Linked DNA regions of Elephas maximus indicus. The protein of the gene in region 2 purifies or fractionates together with the protein of the main gene of each other region. This does not show direct contact. Links are inferred from orthologs where the notes say so. Each region holds a gene or a part of one and is shown on either strand. Other genes may lie near its edges.

Region 1 (7,835 bases), on a different chromosome or scaffold from region 2:
TATGGATCATGCAGCTGGTTCCTGTTTGTCTGACCTTTGGTTCTTGGGACTTGAGCTAGCAGTTTACCTGCTGTCTTACCTGCCAGTCTTGGGATTTGTCAGCCTCCACAGCCTGTGAGCCAGAGGCCTCCTATCTGATCTTCTGATCTTGGATTTGCCAGCCCCCTGTGACTACGTGAGTCAGGAGAAGCCTCCGTCTTAACCCATGAACTTGAGACTTTCTACCCTGTACAGCCACATGAACAATTTCCATTATATAAATCTCTCTATATATTTATATGCTGCATTGGTTTTGCTTCTCTAGAGAGCCTAGCCTAAGACAACTCCATCACTGATGGGAATGTAAAACGGTGCAGCTCCTGTGAAAAACAGTTTGGCTGTTGTTCTTGTTAGGTGCTGCCGAGTCAGTTCCAACCCATAGCGACCCCATGCACAACAGAACGAAACACTGCCCGGTCCTGCACCATCTTTACAATCATTATGCTTGGGTCCATTGTTGCAGCCACTGTGTCAATCCACCTCGTTGAGGGTCTTCCTCTTTTCCACTGACCTTGTACTTTGCCAAGCATGATGTCCTTCTCCAGGGATTGATCCCTCCTGACAACATGTCCAAAGTGTGTAAGATGCAGTCTCGCCATCCTTGCTTCTAAGGAGCATTCTGGTTGTACTTCTTCCAAGACAGATTTGTTCATTCTTTTGGGAGTCCATGGTATATTCAATATTCCTCACCAACACCACAATTCAAAGGCATCAATTCTTCTTCGGTCTTCCTTATTCATTGTCCAGCTTTCACACGCATACGATGTGATTGAAAATACCATGGCTTGGGTCAGGTGCACCTTAATCTTCAAGGTGACATCTTTGCTCTTCAACACTTTTGAGAGGTCCTTTGCAGCAGATTTGCCCAATGCAATGCATCTTTCGATTTCTCAACTGCTGCTTCCATGGCAGTTGATTGTGGATCCAAGTAAAACGAAATCCTTGACAACTTCAATCTTTTCTCTGCTTATCATGATGTTGCTCATTGGTCCAGTTGGGAGGCTTTTTGTTTTCTTTATGTTGAGGTGTAATCCATACTGAAGTCTGTGGTCTTTGATCTTCATTAGTAAGTGCTTCAAGTACTCTTCACTTTCAGCAAGCAAGGTTGTGTCATCTGCATAACGCAGGTTGTTAATGAGTCTTCCTCCAATCCTGATGCCCCATTCTTCATATGGTCCAGCTTCTCGTATTATTTGCTCAGCATACAGATTGAATAGGTATGGTGAAAGAATACAACCCTGACATACACTTTTCCTAACTTTAGACCAGTCAGTATCCCCTTGTTCTGTCTGAACAACTGCCTCTTGATCTGTGTAAAGGTTCCTCATGAGCACAATTAAGTGTTCTGGAATTTCCATTCTTCGCATTCTTTGGCAGTTCCTTAAAAAACTGAACATAGAACTACCGTATGACCTGGTAATCTCAATCCTAGCTATATTCCAGAAGAAGCAAAGGCAGGAACACACAGAAACCTGTACATCAATGTTCATTGCAGCACTTTTCACAATAGCCAAAAGGTGGAAACAACCAAAATATCCATCAATACATGAATGGAGAAACAAAATGTGGTACATACACACAGTGGAATACCACCCAGCCGTGAATAGAAATGAAGTCCTGATGCACGCCACAACATGGATGAACCTTGAAAACATGCTGAGTGAAATTAGTCAATCATGAAAGGGCAAATATTTGTATGATCTCACTTATATGAGCTCTCTAGAATAGGCAACTATAGAGACCAAAGTTTATTAGTGGTTCCGAGGGACAGGAGAGAGGGGGAAAGAGGGAGTCATTGCTTAGGGAGCATTGAGTTTCTGTGATGGTGATGGAAAATTTGACAATGGATACTGGTGATGGCTGCACAACACAATTAATGTAACTGGCGTCACTAAACTGTACACAGATAAAACATTGAACTGGCAAATGTTGTGTTACATGTATTTTTTACAATTAAGAAAAAAAAAAGTCCCTGCTTTTGTAGAGCTGACATTCCAGTCAGGGAAGGAAATAGACAAAAAAAAAAAAAAAGCAAAATAGCTGTTATATCAGATGGTGATCACTGTTACGGAAAGAAACTAAAGCAGGAGGGGTTACCATAAACTTGGTGGTGTAAAACATCACACATTTATCCTCTTACCTTTCTGGAGGCCAGAAGTCCAAAATCAATCTCACTGGGCCGAGATCAAGATGGCAATAGAGCTGAGCTACTTCCAGGGTCTCTAGGGGAGAATCTGTTTCCTTGCCCTTTCTAGCCTCCAGGATTTCATTCCTTACATTCCTTGGCTTGTGATGCCTTCTTCCATCTTCAGAGCCGTCTGGGTAGCATCTTGCTTCAGTGGTCACATTGCCTTCTGTCTCTTTCCTGCTGGGGAATCTCTTAGAAGAGCTCTTGTGATTATGTTGAGGGCCCCCCTGGATAATCCAGGATCATCTCCCCATCTTAACATTCTGAACTTCATCACATCTGCAAAGTCCTTTTTCTATTTTTGAGAACATGTAGTTTATTGGGATGAGACATTGGTGATGCAGTGGTAGAATTCTCACCTTCCATGCAGGAAACCCGATTCGATTCAATGCCCTGCCAATGTACCTCATGTGCAGCCACCACAGTGGAGGCTGTCACTGAGGCTTGTATGGTGCTATGATGCTAAGCAGGTTTCAGCAGAACTTCCAGACTAAGATGGGCTACGAAGAAAGGCCTGGCAATCTACTTCCAAATATCAGCCAATGACTCCTTTGCCCTGAGACCAGAAGAACTGAATGCTACCCAGTTATCATTAGTGAACATTTTGATCAAAGATTCTGTAGAAGAATTCTGATCAAAAGAGGGGAAATGCAGGACAGAATTTCAAATTGTCATGGAATCCGGACTTCCTGGATCCATGGAGGCTGGATGAAGCCCTGAAACTATTGCCTTGAGATAAACTTTAAACCTTAAAACAAAAATAACCTGTCACCTTCTTCAAGACAGACAATAGGTTAACTAGTAAAGAATGTCTGCTCTGAGCATTGTGCACTTTTAATATCTATCTATATGGGATCAAATTGACAACAGCAACTTGGAAGATTAGATGCAGAAACTTAGGAGGCAATGAGCTTGTGTTACTGGGGGAGAAATAATTCAGAAAAGGAGCTTGAGAATGGCTGCACAACTTGGAGAATGTTATCAATGTCACTGAATTGTACCTGTAGAAATTGTTGAATTTGTATATGCTCTGCTGTGTATATTCTCAACAACAACAACAAAAATAGAATAAATTCTATGGATATAAAAATCAGTCAGTGAAAACCTTGTGAATCACAACAGTTTCATCTACCACTGATTATGGGGGTGATGCAGGACCAGGCAGCGTTTAGTTCCTTCGTGGACGGGGTTGCCAATGTTGGGGGCCAACTCAACGGCAGCTAATAACAACAGTTTATTTGGAAGGTGACTGCTTTTAGAGGGAGTGGAAAAGTGAGACCAGAAGAAAGCTTCTGAAAAGGTATTTTAGACAACTGGGGCTCAGTCCCACTGGGGAGTGCTAAGAGAAAGTGTAGACCTTCACAACTCACAGTGTAGTCTGAAGACCAGATCACTGACACCTCCTGGGAGTGGATAAGAAATGCGGAATCTCAGGCCCACTCCCGCCTCAACAATCCGAATCGGCATTTTAACGAGGTCTCCCGGTAATTCATAACCCCATAACCCGTTGCCATCGAGTAAGTCCCGCTTCATAGTAACCCTAATGGACATAGCAGAACTGTCCCATAGGGTTTCCAAGGCTGCGATCTTTAAGATTGCCACATCTTCCTCCTGCGGAGTGGCTGGTGGGTTGCAACCATTAACAGCTGAGCGTTTAAACACTACATCACCAGGGGTCCTCTAAAGGCTTGTACCAAACCACAAAAAAACCCACCAAACCCACTGCCATCAAGTTGATTCCAACTCATAGCGACAGTATCTGGCAAATAGTAGGTGCTCAATAAATGGATAGTTATTTATTCCACAGGAGTCTAGGACACAGCAGGAACTTTATAAATGTATGCTCGTCTGATGCAGTTAAGCCATTCCTAACATGTGGGCCACCAAGGAGTCTCCAATTTCCCTGTTATTTTCTTCTAGTCTCTATTCTCTGCTGTGACACTTTGGCAGATGCTGGAAAACGAATGTTTTGGGTGAGATCGATTCTCTCGGCTCTCCTCCTTCCATGTTTTGTTCTTTGTCCTCGGTGATCCTCAGCGACGCCTTGGGCACCGCCTATCTCTCCGGAGCCCGCCTGCTCAGGCCTTGCGCATGCGCGCAGTATTCCCACTGGCTCCGCCCCAGTAGCGTCACGGGCGGGATCAGCCAGTGGGATCGTGAGGAAGGTGGGGCGGACGTCCCACGGACCCGGTCTCTCGCTGAATATTCATGAGGGAGGCGGATCGACGCCGCTGCACGCCTTGGCCGGCGCCATGAAGTGAGAGTGGGGCCGGGGACCGCGGCTGGAGAACGGCCGCAGGGGGCTGAAAGATGGGGGGGAGCGTGTGGGGTCCCCAGCAGGGCGAGGGGTGGCTGAAGAGATGGGATGGGGTAACCGCGGGGCCGGCGGGGTGGTAACGGGGATGGTCAGCGGGGAGACCCGGAGGCTCCTTGGGAACTGGCGGGATACCCGGGGGGACCGGCAGGTAACTGCCCTTGGCTCGACGGCCGGAGAGCGCGGGGGCTTGGAGGGGGCCTGAGGGGGAGGACACTGACCCAGCAGCCCCCACCAATAGGCTCAACGTGGACGGCCTGCTGGTCTATTTCCCCTACGACTACATCTACCCGGAGCAGTTCTCCTACATGCTGGAGCTCAAACGCACTCTGGATGCCAAAGTGAGTAGGCCGGGCGGCCGCTGCCTGCTTAACAGGTGGGGCCGTCACGCGTGGGTCTGCGACTGAGGTTGGAGGACGTCTAGATAGCCAAGACCCCAGGATTTTAGAAACCTGAGGTCCTTGGGAATCTAGGACTCCAAAGCCACCTGCCATCTGAAATAATAATAGTTAATAATACCCGTTGCCGTTGATTTCGACTCATAGGGACCCTATAGGACAGAGTAGAACTGCTCCGTGGGGTTTTCAAGAAGCTGGTGGTGGATTATAACTGTCAACCTTTTGGTTAGCAGCCGAGCTCTTAACCACTGTGCCACCAGGACTTCCAGTTAATAATAGTAGCTAAAAAAAAAAAAAAAAAAGTTTTTTTTTTTTTTTAATATTTATTAGGTCAAGCATAGCAACGATTCTGAGAATGGCATAGGATCAGGTAGTTTTCGTTCTGTTGTACATAGGGTCGCTATGAGTCAGAACTCCATAGCACTTAGCAGCAACATTTATTAAAGGCCAGACATCCCGGTGCGTAGAGATCCATAGACACTGGAGCTGGCTCCCTGGATTGAAACCCCGGATTCACAGTCTACCAGCTGTGTGACCTTGGGCAAGTTATTAACCTCCCTGTTCTGGTGCCCCTGTAAAAGGGACATAGTAATAGTACAGTACTTGAAGTCCCTGGGTGGTGCAAATAGGTGACTTGCTCAGCTGTCTAACTGAAAAATTGGAGGTTCAAGTGCACCCAGAGGCACCCTGGGAGAAAGGCCTGGTGACCTACTTCCAAAAAGTCAGCCATTGAAAACCCTGTGAAGCACAGTGCTACCGGGATACACACAGGGTCGGCATGAGTCAGAGTCTACTTGAGGACAACTGCTTTTAATAATGCCTACCTCATAGGTTGTCGTGAGGGTGAAATGGATTAATACAGTAAGGCAGGGGTGGATTTTGACCCCCGGAGAACAATTGGCAATGTCTAGAGATATTCTTCCTCGCCATACTAGTTGTGGGGTGGGGCGCTATTGTTTCTAGTGGGTAGAAGCCAGGGACGCTGCCAAACATTCCACAGTGCAAGGACAGCTGCCCCACAGCTAAGTATTATCCGGCCCCAGATGTCAGTAGAGCAGGATATGAGGCATCTACAGCAGTGCCAGGCACCAAGGAAGTGCTGTGGAAGTGTTTGCTAAGCTGCAGGAAAAAATGGGCTCACTATATATCAGATACCATGGTAAATCATTAGCTTACAATTTGTCGTTAATCTTCACAATCATGATATGAGGAAGACCTTTATGGACCCATTTTAGAGATGAGGATACTGAGGTCCAGAGAGGTGAAGGCACTTGCCTGAAACCACTCAGTAAAGAGGTGGCAGAAGTAGGATTCAACCCCTCTCCCCTCCCGGGTCCAAACTATTAACTACTGTGCTGATGGCAGTCTTCTTGGAGGGAGGGGGGCAGCATCCCTAGAGATTGTGCCCCCAAGGTTCTGAGAGCCTGTATCTTGTCCCTCCTACCCCCAACGCATAGGGTCATGGAGTCCTGGAGATGCCCTCGGGCACTGGGAAGACAGTGTCTCTGTTGGCTCTGATCATGGCGTACCAGCGGGTAAGTGACCCACTGGGCCCATGGAGAGGGTATCGGGTAGAGGCTGGGTGGGGGCTGAGCCTGCTTGTCATTGGCAGGCATATCCGCTGGAGGTGACCAAACTCATCTACTGCTCGAGGACTGTGCCCGAGATTGAGAAGGTGAGCCGGGGTGTCTTAGTTTCCTCGTGCTGCCATAACAGAAATACCACAATTGGGCGGCTTTAAAGAACAGCTATTTATTTTCTCACAGTTCTGGAGGCGAAAAGCCCAGGTCAGGGTCTTGGCCATGTCGATTCCTTCTGCGAAGGTCTCTTACAGTTCTGGTGTATGCTAGCGATTCTTGATGTTCCTTTACTTGTAGGTGATTCTCACACGTCATCTATCTTCCCCTGTGTGTGTGTGAGTTGCTGTGTCTATTCTGGTCTTTTTATAACTCAGGGGTGATTAGGTTTAGGCTCTATCTTGCACTGATATGACCTCAATTGATTGATTAATTACATTAGATTAGATAAGATTATGGAAGTTCATTTCATTAAATTAGGAATCCCTGGGTTGTGCAAATGATTAACACGCTTGGCTGCTAACCAAAAGGTTAGAGGTTCAAGTCCGCCCAGAGGCGCCTCAGAAGAAAGGCCTGGTGACCTGCATCTGAAAAATCAGCCATTGAAAACCTTGTGGAGCAGAGTTGCACTCGGATACACATGGGGGTGCCATGAGTCAGAATCAGCTGGACAGCAACTGATGCTGACCTTAATTACATTACATATATTTTTAACGCGTTAAAAGGCAAAGATGGCACTTTAAGGAGTAAAGTGCACCTGACCCAAGCCATGGTATTTTCAGTTGCCTCATATGCATGCGAAAACTGGGCAATGAATAAAGAAGACCAAAGAAGAATTGATGCGTTTGAATTATGGTGTTGGCGAAGAATGTCGGCCATACCACGGACCGCCAGAAGAACAAACGAATCTGTCTTGGAAGAACTACAGCCAGAGTGCTCCTTAGAAGCAAGGATGGCGAGACTTTGTCTCACTTACTTTGGACATGTTATCAGGAGGGACCAGACCCTGGAGAAGGACATGCTTGGGAAAGTAGAGGGTCATTGAAAAAGAAGAAGACCTTCGATGAGGTGGATTAACACAGTGGCTGCAACCGTGAGCTCAAATGTAGCAATGGCTGTGAGGACGGTACAGGACCAGGCAGCGTTTCATGCTGTTGTGCACAGGGTTGCTATAAGTTGGAACTGACTCAACAGCACCTAACGACAACGTATATTACATTTTATTAGATTACATTATGGAAGGCCATTACATTAGGAGTCCATGGGTGGTGCCAATGGTTAACCCATTCAGCTGCTAACTGAAAGGCTGGTGTTTCAGG
Region 2 (8,289 bases):
ATGAACCTTAAGTTTCAGAGTTCGCTAAACCAAAAAAAAAAAAACTAAACCCACTGCCTGTGAATCGATTCCAACTCATAGCAACCCTAAAGGACAGACGAGAACTGCCCCATAGCGTTTCCAAGGAGCACCTGGTGGATTCAAACTGCTGACCTTTTGGTTTGCAGCCATAGTTCCTAACCACTACACCACCAGGGTTTCCTCAAAGTTGCATAGGAGAGAATTGACTTCTAAATTACACATTTTTGTATTGTTAGCCAAAAATTGCTATAAACTATATTTGTATATGGGTGAAACTGAAATATATGGGTGTTGAGAGGTGTAAGGATAAATCAGTGTTCACATCCCAACTGCAACTGTCCTGTGGAAATCTCAGAAAACCACTATTCTGTTACTAACTATGAAGATATAACAAATTCCCACTTTCCTTGTTCAGTTCTGATTCCAGCCACCCATATGGCACTTCTTTCTCTAACCCCAGCCACCTGGAGCTAGATAGATTTCACAACTTAAAAGGACACTGTCCTTTAGGCTGCCAAATAAGCACACACCAGATGAAAGCCTGGGGGTCTGCACCACACCCTTACTTCTGACTTGCTGGGCACAAAGTAGGGGTTTCCCCACTACCCCTTCAGGGAGCCAGCCGCAAGCTCAGGGGCCTCTCCTGGTCTCCCTCACTTTCACCTGCTGGCTCCCATTACTCCTTTGGGTTTGAAAATTTGCTGGAACAACTCACAGAAATTACTATCCTCACAATTACAGATTTGTTATCAAAAATAGACAGAAATCAGGATCAGCATAAAGAAGAGATGCCCAGGGCAAGGCTAGGGTGGGTTACCAACATGAAGCTTCCATGTTCCAAAACACATGCCACCCTCCCACATGTATCAATGTCTTTCATCAACCAGGACGCTCTTGGAACTTTTATGTCCACGGCCTTTACTGGCTTCATTGCATAGTCATGATTGGGGTCTCACTGAATATGCGTAATTGATTAAATCATACCACCCTCCCTCCCTCCCTGAGGTTAGCTGACCAGGTGGTCCTTGTGGCCTGGCCAGCCCCTTGACTCATTTGTACAAATCCTCAACTGTTGTCTGGAGGTTTTAGATAATAAAATCATCTTGATTACTCAGGAGATTCCAAGGGTTATCTCTCAGGAACCAAAGACAAAGGCCAAACTGAGTTCTTTGCCTCACAGGAGGGGAAGGTCCACAAGCACTAGATCCTCAATGTTCATAGTGGGAAGCATAGATAATGTCTAAAATTGAAAGGGGAAAAAAAAAGTTCAAGAAATAATAATACATAAACATATTGCTTAAAGATATGGTGGTAACACCAGAAGAAACAGGTGAGTCTAAAGTGTGTGCTCTGAGGAATGAAAACCTGGGTAAAGAGGAGTCAGGCAGGTTAAAATCCTGTTCTATTAACTGACTTTTAAAACTATAGGCATATATTATTTGAAATAAAGGTTAAACATAAAAGAAGATTCTACAAGTCACCTTCAAAGGAGAAAAGTCTATTACTGAAAAACAGATTCTAAGTCCTAATTTATGTTAAAAGCAAGCAAACAAAAAACGCCAAGCTACTAGGACTTTCAGACAACTATATAGCTCAATATGCCAACAATATGAATACATCATACTAGCTAGTCAGAGCCCTGGTGGTGCAGTGGTCAAGAGCTCAGCTGCTAACCAAAAGGTCGGCAGTTCAAATCCACCAGCCACTCCCTGGAAACCCTAGGGGGCGGTTCTGCTGTGTCCTACAGGGTCACTATTAGAACTGACTCTATTCTCGATTGCACCTATCAAGAACAACTAGTCAGTCTGGTCAATATATTTTGTTTTGTTTTTTACAAATGTGCCAGTCACAGCTCTACGCATAATGTAAGGGGAAGAAAACACAATAAACTCACAAATAAGAGAATTTTAGAATTTGATAAATGGTATGAAGATGACACAAGGAAATATGCCAAAGAATGACTGTGAAGGAGAGGGACACACCGGTTTTAGCTATAGTGGACAGGGAAGGCCTCTATGTGGAGGAGACATTTGAGTGAGACTCCAAAATAAGAAGGAATCAGTCATGCTACGTTCTGGGAGGGGAATGAATTTAATGTGTTAAAGGGACAGAAAGGTCAGTGTGGTGGAATATAGTGAACCAGGGGTAGAATCGAAAAGATGAAGTTTGAAAAGATCAGGAGAGTTTAGATGTTTTACAAAGGAGTGGCTATACTGTTGAGTCACAGAATGTATGCTGAATATGGCTTAAGTTTCTTAAATCAATGTGAGTTAAGCAAAAAAGCTATATAAATAATTTAAATATAATGCAACACACATTATTGCTAATGCTAGTGAAAGCCTTTCATGGTAACTCTGTCAGCAGAAAATAGACGGAACAGATGGGCAGTACTTGTCCTTTATATAACAACAAAGTTTATGTAGCAAAAATAATGTACAGTTTCTTCTTCACTTCAGTTTCATTTAATGGAACAACAAACTGGTTCAATCCCAGAGTTCTATCTTAGAAAACAATATCCCAATTCTATCGTCTCTGAAAATGACATAACTTATTAGCAGAGATCAAGAGTACTAAAACGGTCATCTATCAGCTCATAATACATTTTCAAAGAGACTTGAGAGAAATGACCCAAAGTGTAACTCACTTTTTTAATGGCGACAATTTGATTGGTGTTCTTGTCTCTGGCCTTGTAAACTGTGGCGAACTAGACAGAAAACAGAAATAACATATGAGTTTATGGAGTTTTCTTGTAATTGCCTTTTTACTTTTTTACATTTTGGGAAGCACAGGGCCGCTAGAAATGTGGTGGGATACTCCACGTCTGTTCTTCGGAAGGGAGGGGGCTGCTCAGGGGTCACCTCTAGGGTGTAAAGAGAAGGGTAGCACGCGCGGCTGGGCCGCCTCCACCAAGGAGAACAAGCAGCCAGGCCAGTCCGCTGGTCCCACGCGAAAATCCGCGAGGGTCTGAGGCGGCACTGTGCTCTCCGCTCCGGGCCCTCCCAATCCCAGCACGAGACCCTCACCTGTCCCTCTCCGAGAAAGTCCAGTTTCTCATAACGCTTTGCTCGCGACTTCACGTCCAAAGCCATTCGGCGCGTGAAGCCTGACTCCGAAAACGTAAGGCTCCAAAAACCAAGCGAATTTAAAGCTACCTCAGAGGCTCCCACAGCCTCTTCCGTTCACTGGACTCCCACACTGTAGTAGCCCCGCCCCACTTCCGGGATGGGCGGGGTACTGCTAAGTGGATACCAGCGGGGTCCGCCCTCCGGAAGCTGCATGAGACCCGGCTGATTGGCTGGGCTGTACCGCCCCCGCCTTGCGACGTAGTCTACTCCGGGTTCCGCGAAAGGAGTGTATCTGATGGTGGCTGTTTGCGTCACCCTTTTACAGTTCTTAATTTGGGTCTTTTCTTAGCTACTGGAGACAGGTCGGCGTTCGGATTTGGTGTTCTCAGTTCGGAATTTGGTAGGTGTGTGTGAGTGTGGGAGGCTTGTCCTTTTCCTTGATCTCCCTTTGTAGCTAGTTCATGATCGTGTATGGCCTCGCCACGGTTGCTATGGACGCCAAGCTCCGCGATCACAGGTTACTTAACCAGGTGTCACTTTCTTAGGGACTGGTCTAGAGGCATTCTTAGTCCAGTTCATTTATAAAGCAGGTCTAAAAATTCAACTCAGTTGAAACGTGCTGTGATCCTCAATTCTCTACCCTTTAAACTGGAAATCATAATAGACTACATCATAGGATGGTGAGGATTAGATGAAACACTTAGAAAGTTTAGACACGTAAGTGCTCTGTGTGTTATCTGTGATAAATACCCAACTTCTAGATCCCTATCAATTTTCATACAAATCAACAAAATAAAGTTAACATATTAACTCATTGAAATAATATGTAATTGAGTGCTTACTATGTGCCAGGCACTGGTGTAGACTTTGAGAAATCAGCAAGGAACAAAACAAAAATCAGCATTCCAGTGGGAGAAACAGGTAATAAGCAAAATATGTTAAGATACTTAGTGATAAGTGCTATGGAGATAATAAGGGAGTGTTATTTTAAATAGGGTGGTTGAGGAAAAACATCATGAAAAGCCATTGGAGGATTTTGAGTAGATAAAAGATATGATCCGACTTCTTTTAAAAGGTTTACTTTGGTTGTTGTGAGAGACTAGATTTAGAGGAGCAAGGTCTGTTAGAGAATTTCAGATTCTCATGGAATCCAGACTTCTGGGCCACTGAGCCTGGGTGAAGCCTTGAAACTATTGTCCTAAGATAACCTTTAAACCTAAATTATAATCCCCTGAAGTCTTCTTCAAACCAAACAACAGGTTAGCTTACTCAGAAAGAATGTCTGCCTTCAGCATTGTGCTCTTTTAAAAAAACTATATGGGATCAAATTGACAACAGCAACTCCAGAGGTTAAATAGGAAGTTTAGGGAGCAGTGACTTCATGTCAATGGGGGAGGAACAATTCAGAAAAGGAGAGTGAGAATGGTTGCACAACTTGAAGAATGTAATCATTGTCACTGAATTGTAGATGTAGAAATTGTTGAATTGGTGTATTGCTGTGTATACTTTCAAGAATAAAAAAATAAAGTAGTAATTTAAAAAAGGTCTCTTAAAGAGTTATTACAGTAATCCAGATGGCTGGTTTGGTTTTTAGCAGATAAGATTTATAGATACACTGGATATTGGAGGGGGGCGATTTTAAGGTTTTGAGCTTGAGCTGCTATAAAGATGGAAAGGTTTACCCCCTTGTCTTTGCATTTGATGTTTCTAGGAGTTAAGAATGCTATCTTCAGAGATGTGTTGAAGAAGGCAGCAGAATTACCAAGGGTAATTTTGTAGTCGAGGTAGTATAGTGTAGAGGCTGAGTTCTTACTTTGAAACCAGACTGTTTGCAATTTAATACTGTCCTCACCAGTATTCAATCACTAGATGTTTGACTTGGGGAAATTACTAAACTTTTCTGTGCCTAGTTTCTTCTCTGTAATAGGACTGGCTTATAGTGTGTTCATACTTATAAAAGCCCTTAGTGTCTGACAGCTGAGTGCTCAGTTTATATTGACCATTCCTGTCATTGGTCACCTTTAAGCCCTTTGTCACTACTTGGGTTTTTATTGAGCTGATGCACTCAGGCATAATTTCTTGTATTACAGAAGACATACCAACTTTAACACTGCTAACTCTTTTACTTGTGGCAAGTAATACCTCGTGATGCATGGTGTCACATGACTAGGTCAAAGTTCCTTCTGACAGACATCACTGTAACAGTAATCTACCTAAACTTGAAGCAGAAATAAGCTAAATAATGAGCTAAATTTGATGGTGCACCTGTGAGGCTCCCAAGCGTACTGTGGTATAGGAGTTCATAACTGCAGCATTATAACCATGCTACTAAGTAAATTCCTATTTGGGGACATTTTAGATGATATTCTGGGGTAATGTGGTCATATGTATAAAATACTGTTCAGCATTTGTATATCATTTTGCATTTTACAAAGTGCTTTCACGTATCTGTAGTAGCCAGCTTCCAAGATGGCCTCCGGTGATCTTTGCCTTCTGGTATTAATGCACTTGTGTAGTCTTCTCCCGCAGCAAAACAGACTGTGTGACCAGTGAAGTATGGCAGAAGTGACTTTGTGTGACTTCTGAGGATGGGTCATAAAAGGCATTGCTACTTCTACCTTGCATGCTGTGGAGGAAGTCAGCCACCATATGAATTCACTCAGTCCTGTGGAGAGGCCTACATGGAAAGAACTGAAGCTTCCTGCTAATGACCAGCACCAACTTGCTAGCCATATGACTGAGCCACCTTGGGCATTTATCATCTAGCCCCAGCCAAGCCTTCATATGACTGCAGCCCCAGGTGGCATCTGATTGCAGCCTCACAAGACACTAAGAACTGTCCAGCCAAACTGCTCCTGTGTTTCTCTGTGTCAGAAGTGTGCTAGGGATTGAATTGTGTCCCCCTCCCCCCACCAAATATGTGTTGAAATCCTAACCACTGTACCTGTAGATAAGACCCTGTTTGAAAATAGGGGGTTTTCTTTTGTTATGTTAATGTCATGCCAATATAGGCTGAATCCTATACCTAATCACTTTGAGTTATAAAAAGACCAGAATAGATAAGACACACACACACACTCAGAAGACAGACACCAAGGAACACCAAGGAATGCCAAGGATTGCTGGTACACACCAGAAACTGAAGGGCTCAGAGAAGGAACTGACACAGCTGAGATCCTGATTTGGACTTTTAGTCTCCAAAACTGTGAGAAAATAAAATTCTGTTCTTTAAAACCACCTATCTGTGGTATTTGTGTCACAGCAGCACTAGGTAACCAAGTCAAAGTGATTATTGTTGTTTTAAGTTCACTCCATCAGTTTCTGTCTACAGGATCAATAATAGATTCCAAAAAAAAACAAAAAAAAAATGGTCCTGGGCTTCCTTTCACTGAAATAAAAAAACTAAGGGGTATAAAATAAAATTGTAAGTTTTGCTTTATGAAAACAGAGGTCTCTTGTCCATGACACTAAAGGTTATCTTACTAAATGTTAGAAACCTATGTGTTGTGTAATTATATATATTTATATATATATCTTAAAGCTTATAGTTATGCCTTGAACTGTAACTAACTTTTAGAAGCAGCTTGTTGAGTTTCACATAATTGTATTTAGGTGATCAGGCTCACTGAACCACTTGAAATTTGATTCTTTCAGAAAACAATTAAAGATTAATGGACAAGTCCTGTTTCCAAGACTCCAGAGGTCTTAAAGCCATGGCTCACTGATCTGTGATTGTCTTAGTACGGTTTCTATCTAAGCTTTGACAATGTTTGAGCACATACTGCTCTCTTATAAGATCTACGTATTCTGATATAATCTCAGCTGGTAACAATTTTTCTTCAAAATTCCTGATGAAATTATATATAAGTACCCTGAAAATCTTTTACTTAACTGGAGCACTGATGTACTGAGTAATGACATGTTGCCCAACTTTAAAGTTGTCTATTAAACCTGCACAGCAATCTGTTAATGGCGGTCTGAGTTATTTATTTTGACAGGGGAAAAAAGAATAATGCTAGTTAGAAAAAAAAAATGCTTTTCCAAAAACATTTTTTAAATAATAAAAAGGAATTACGAACCATATATTTTTCATGAGTTACCATTACAACTTATGTTATCAACATACTGCAAGCATCAAACCCTTATCTGATATTTGAGTTGGGCAACACTTACAGTGGGCCACAATACAGAATTTACACCAGCAGCAGTTCAACACTGGCAGGATACAGGAAAGTATAGATTAACTCACAGAATATAGAAATGTATTCAACAACAATTCTACTTTGTCTATTGCTCATGAGCTACCCTTACTATTGACTTCTTTAAGGCATATTCTAAAAATCACCAAAGGTATGTAAGAGAATTCATTTGGCTTTGTGAGGCTTTACTTTCACAATACATACCCTTGGGGCAGGAAAACCTTATTAAATTTTCACAAATTACCTTAAATAAGATAAGTATTAAGTTGATTTTATGAGGCTTTCAGAAACGTTTGAGAAAGTTACTGGTTATCAGGATTTGCACACGTGATCACATGAAAACAATAAAATAAACCAAAGAACAAGACTTTTTAACAGCCCTCAAAACTTAATAAATTACAATTTCTAGTCAAACGTTTATTCCTATGCTGTGGTCATTTTGGCCTCGATTTATTTTCCATTTTGTACTCTTTGACATTTTTTCTGAGTATAGGTTACAAACAATCTTTTGTGTTATCTCCAATCTCAGTACCAAAAAGTCACCTGTTTTACCTTGGCTATGTTCTTACCCTTTACAGTAGGATACACTTACTAAGCTAGCTATATTCCAGTAACTCTGTGAATGAAAAATGTTACAGGATCAAAAACAAATAATGGAGTAGTATTTCACTGATCCTCATCCAATCTCAGGAAAATCACTTCCCTAAAGCAGCAATTTTGCCTGATAAATTCTCTCTAAATAGAAACCAGAAAAAATGTGTAATTATAGGAAACCTCTGAAAGTTTACTAGACATCGTGTGCTTTTAATAGTTCAACACTGGTAATACTTAATAATGAAGAGTAAATTAATAGGCTAACATTTAAAAATGTATACTTTCATAAGTATAAAGTATATAAACAATTAGGTAAGCTTGTGGAGAAGCTGACCCCAATACATAGATACATAAATTAGGAGATATAAGTGTCCATCTAAATTTTCTATCTTTGATATTTTTACAGAATA

Evidence for each region. The genes of interacting proteins can lie anywhere in the genome.
Region 1: the proteins of CDK7 (region 2) and ERCC2 purify together in Homo sapiens (affinity purification with mass spectrometry; 10 studies listed by BioGRID and IntAct, counting the BioPlex papers as one, with this or other methods). This does not show direct contact. The link is inferred for Elephas maximus indicus from reciprocal best matches to the Homo sapiens genes CDK7 and ERCC2.

What each region holds. Positions count from the first base shown.
Region 1 is NC_064829.1:104,342,216-104,350,050, forward strand, and holds the start of ERCC2 (general transcription and DNA repair factor IIH helicase subunit XPD), read left to right. Parts: upstream 1-4,400; 5' UTR 4,401-4,479; coding exon 4,480-4,484; intron 4,485-4,630; exon of another isoform or gene 4,631-4,692; intron 4,693-4,782; coding exon 4,783-4,882; intron 4,883-6,396; coding exon 6,397-6,474; intron 6,475-6,551; coding exon 6,552-6,614; intron 6,615-7,835. UniProt on the Homo sapiens protein: ATP-dependent 5'-3' DNA helicase. Component of the general transcription and DNA repair factor IIH (TFIIH) core complex, not absolutely essential for minimal transcription in vitro.
Region 2 is NC_064820.1:74,677,369-74,685,657, reverse strand, and holds the start of CDK7 (cyclin-dependent kinase 7), read right to left. Parts: upstream 3,222-8,289; 5' UTR 3,111-3,221; coding exon 3,045-3,110; intron 2,726-3,044; coding exon 2,666-2,725; intron 1-2,665. UniProt on the Homo sapiens protein: Serine/threonine kinase involved in cell cycle control and in RNA polymerase II-mediated RNA transcription. Cyclin-dependent kinases (CDKs) are activated by the binding to a cyclin and mediate the progression through the cell cycle.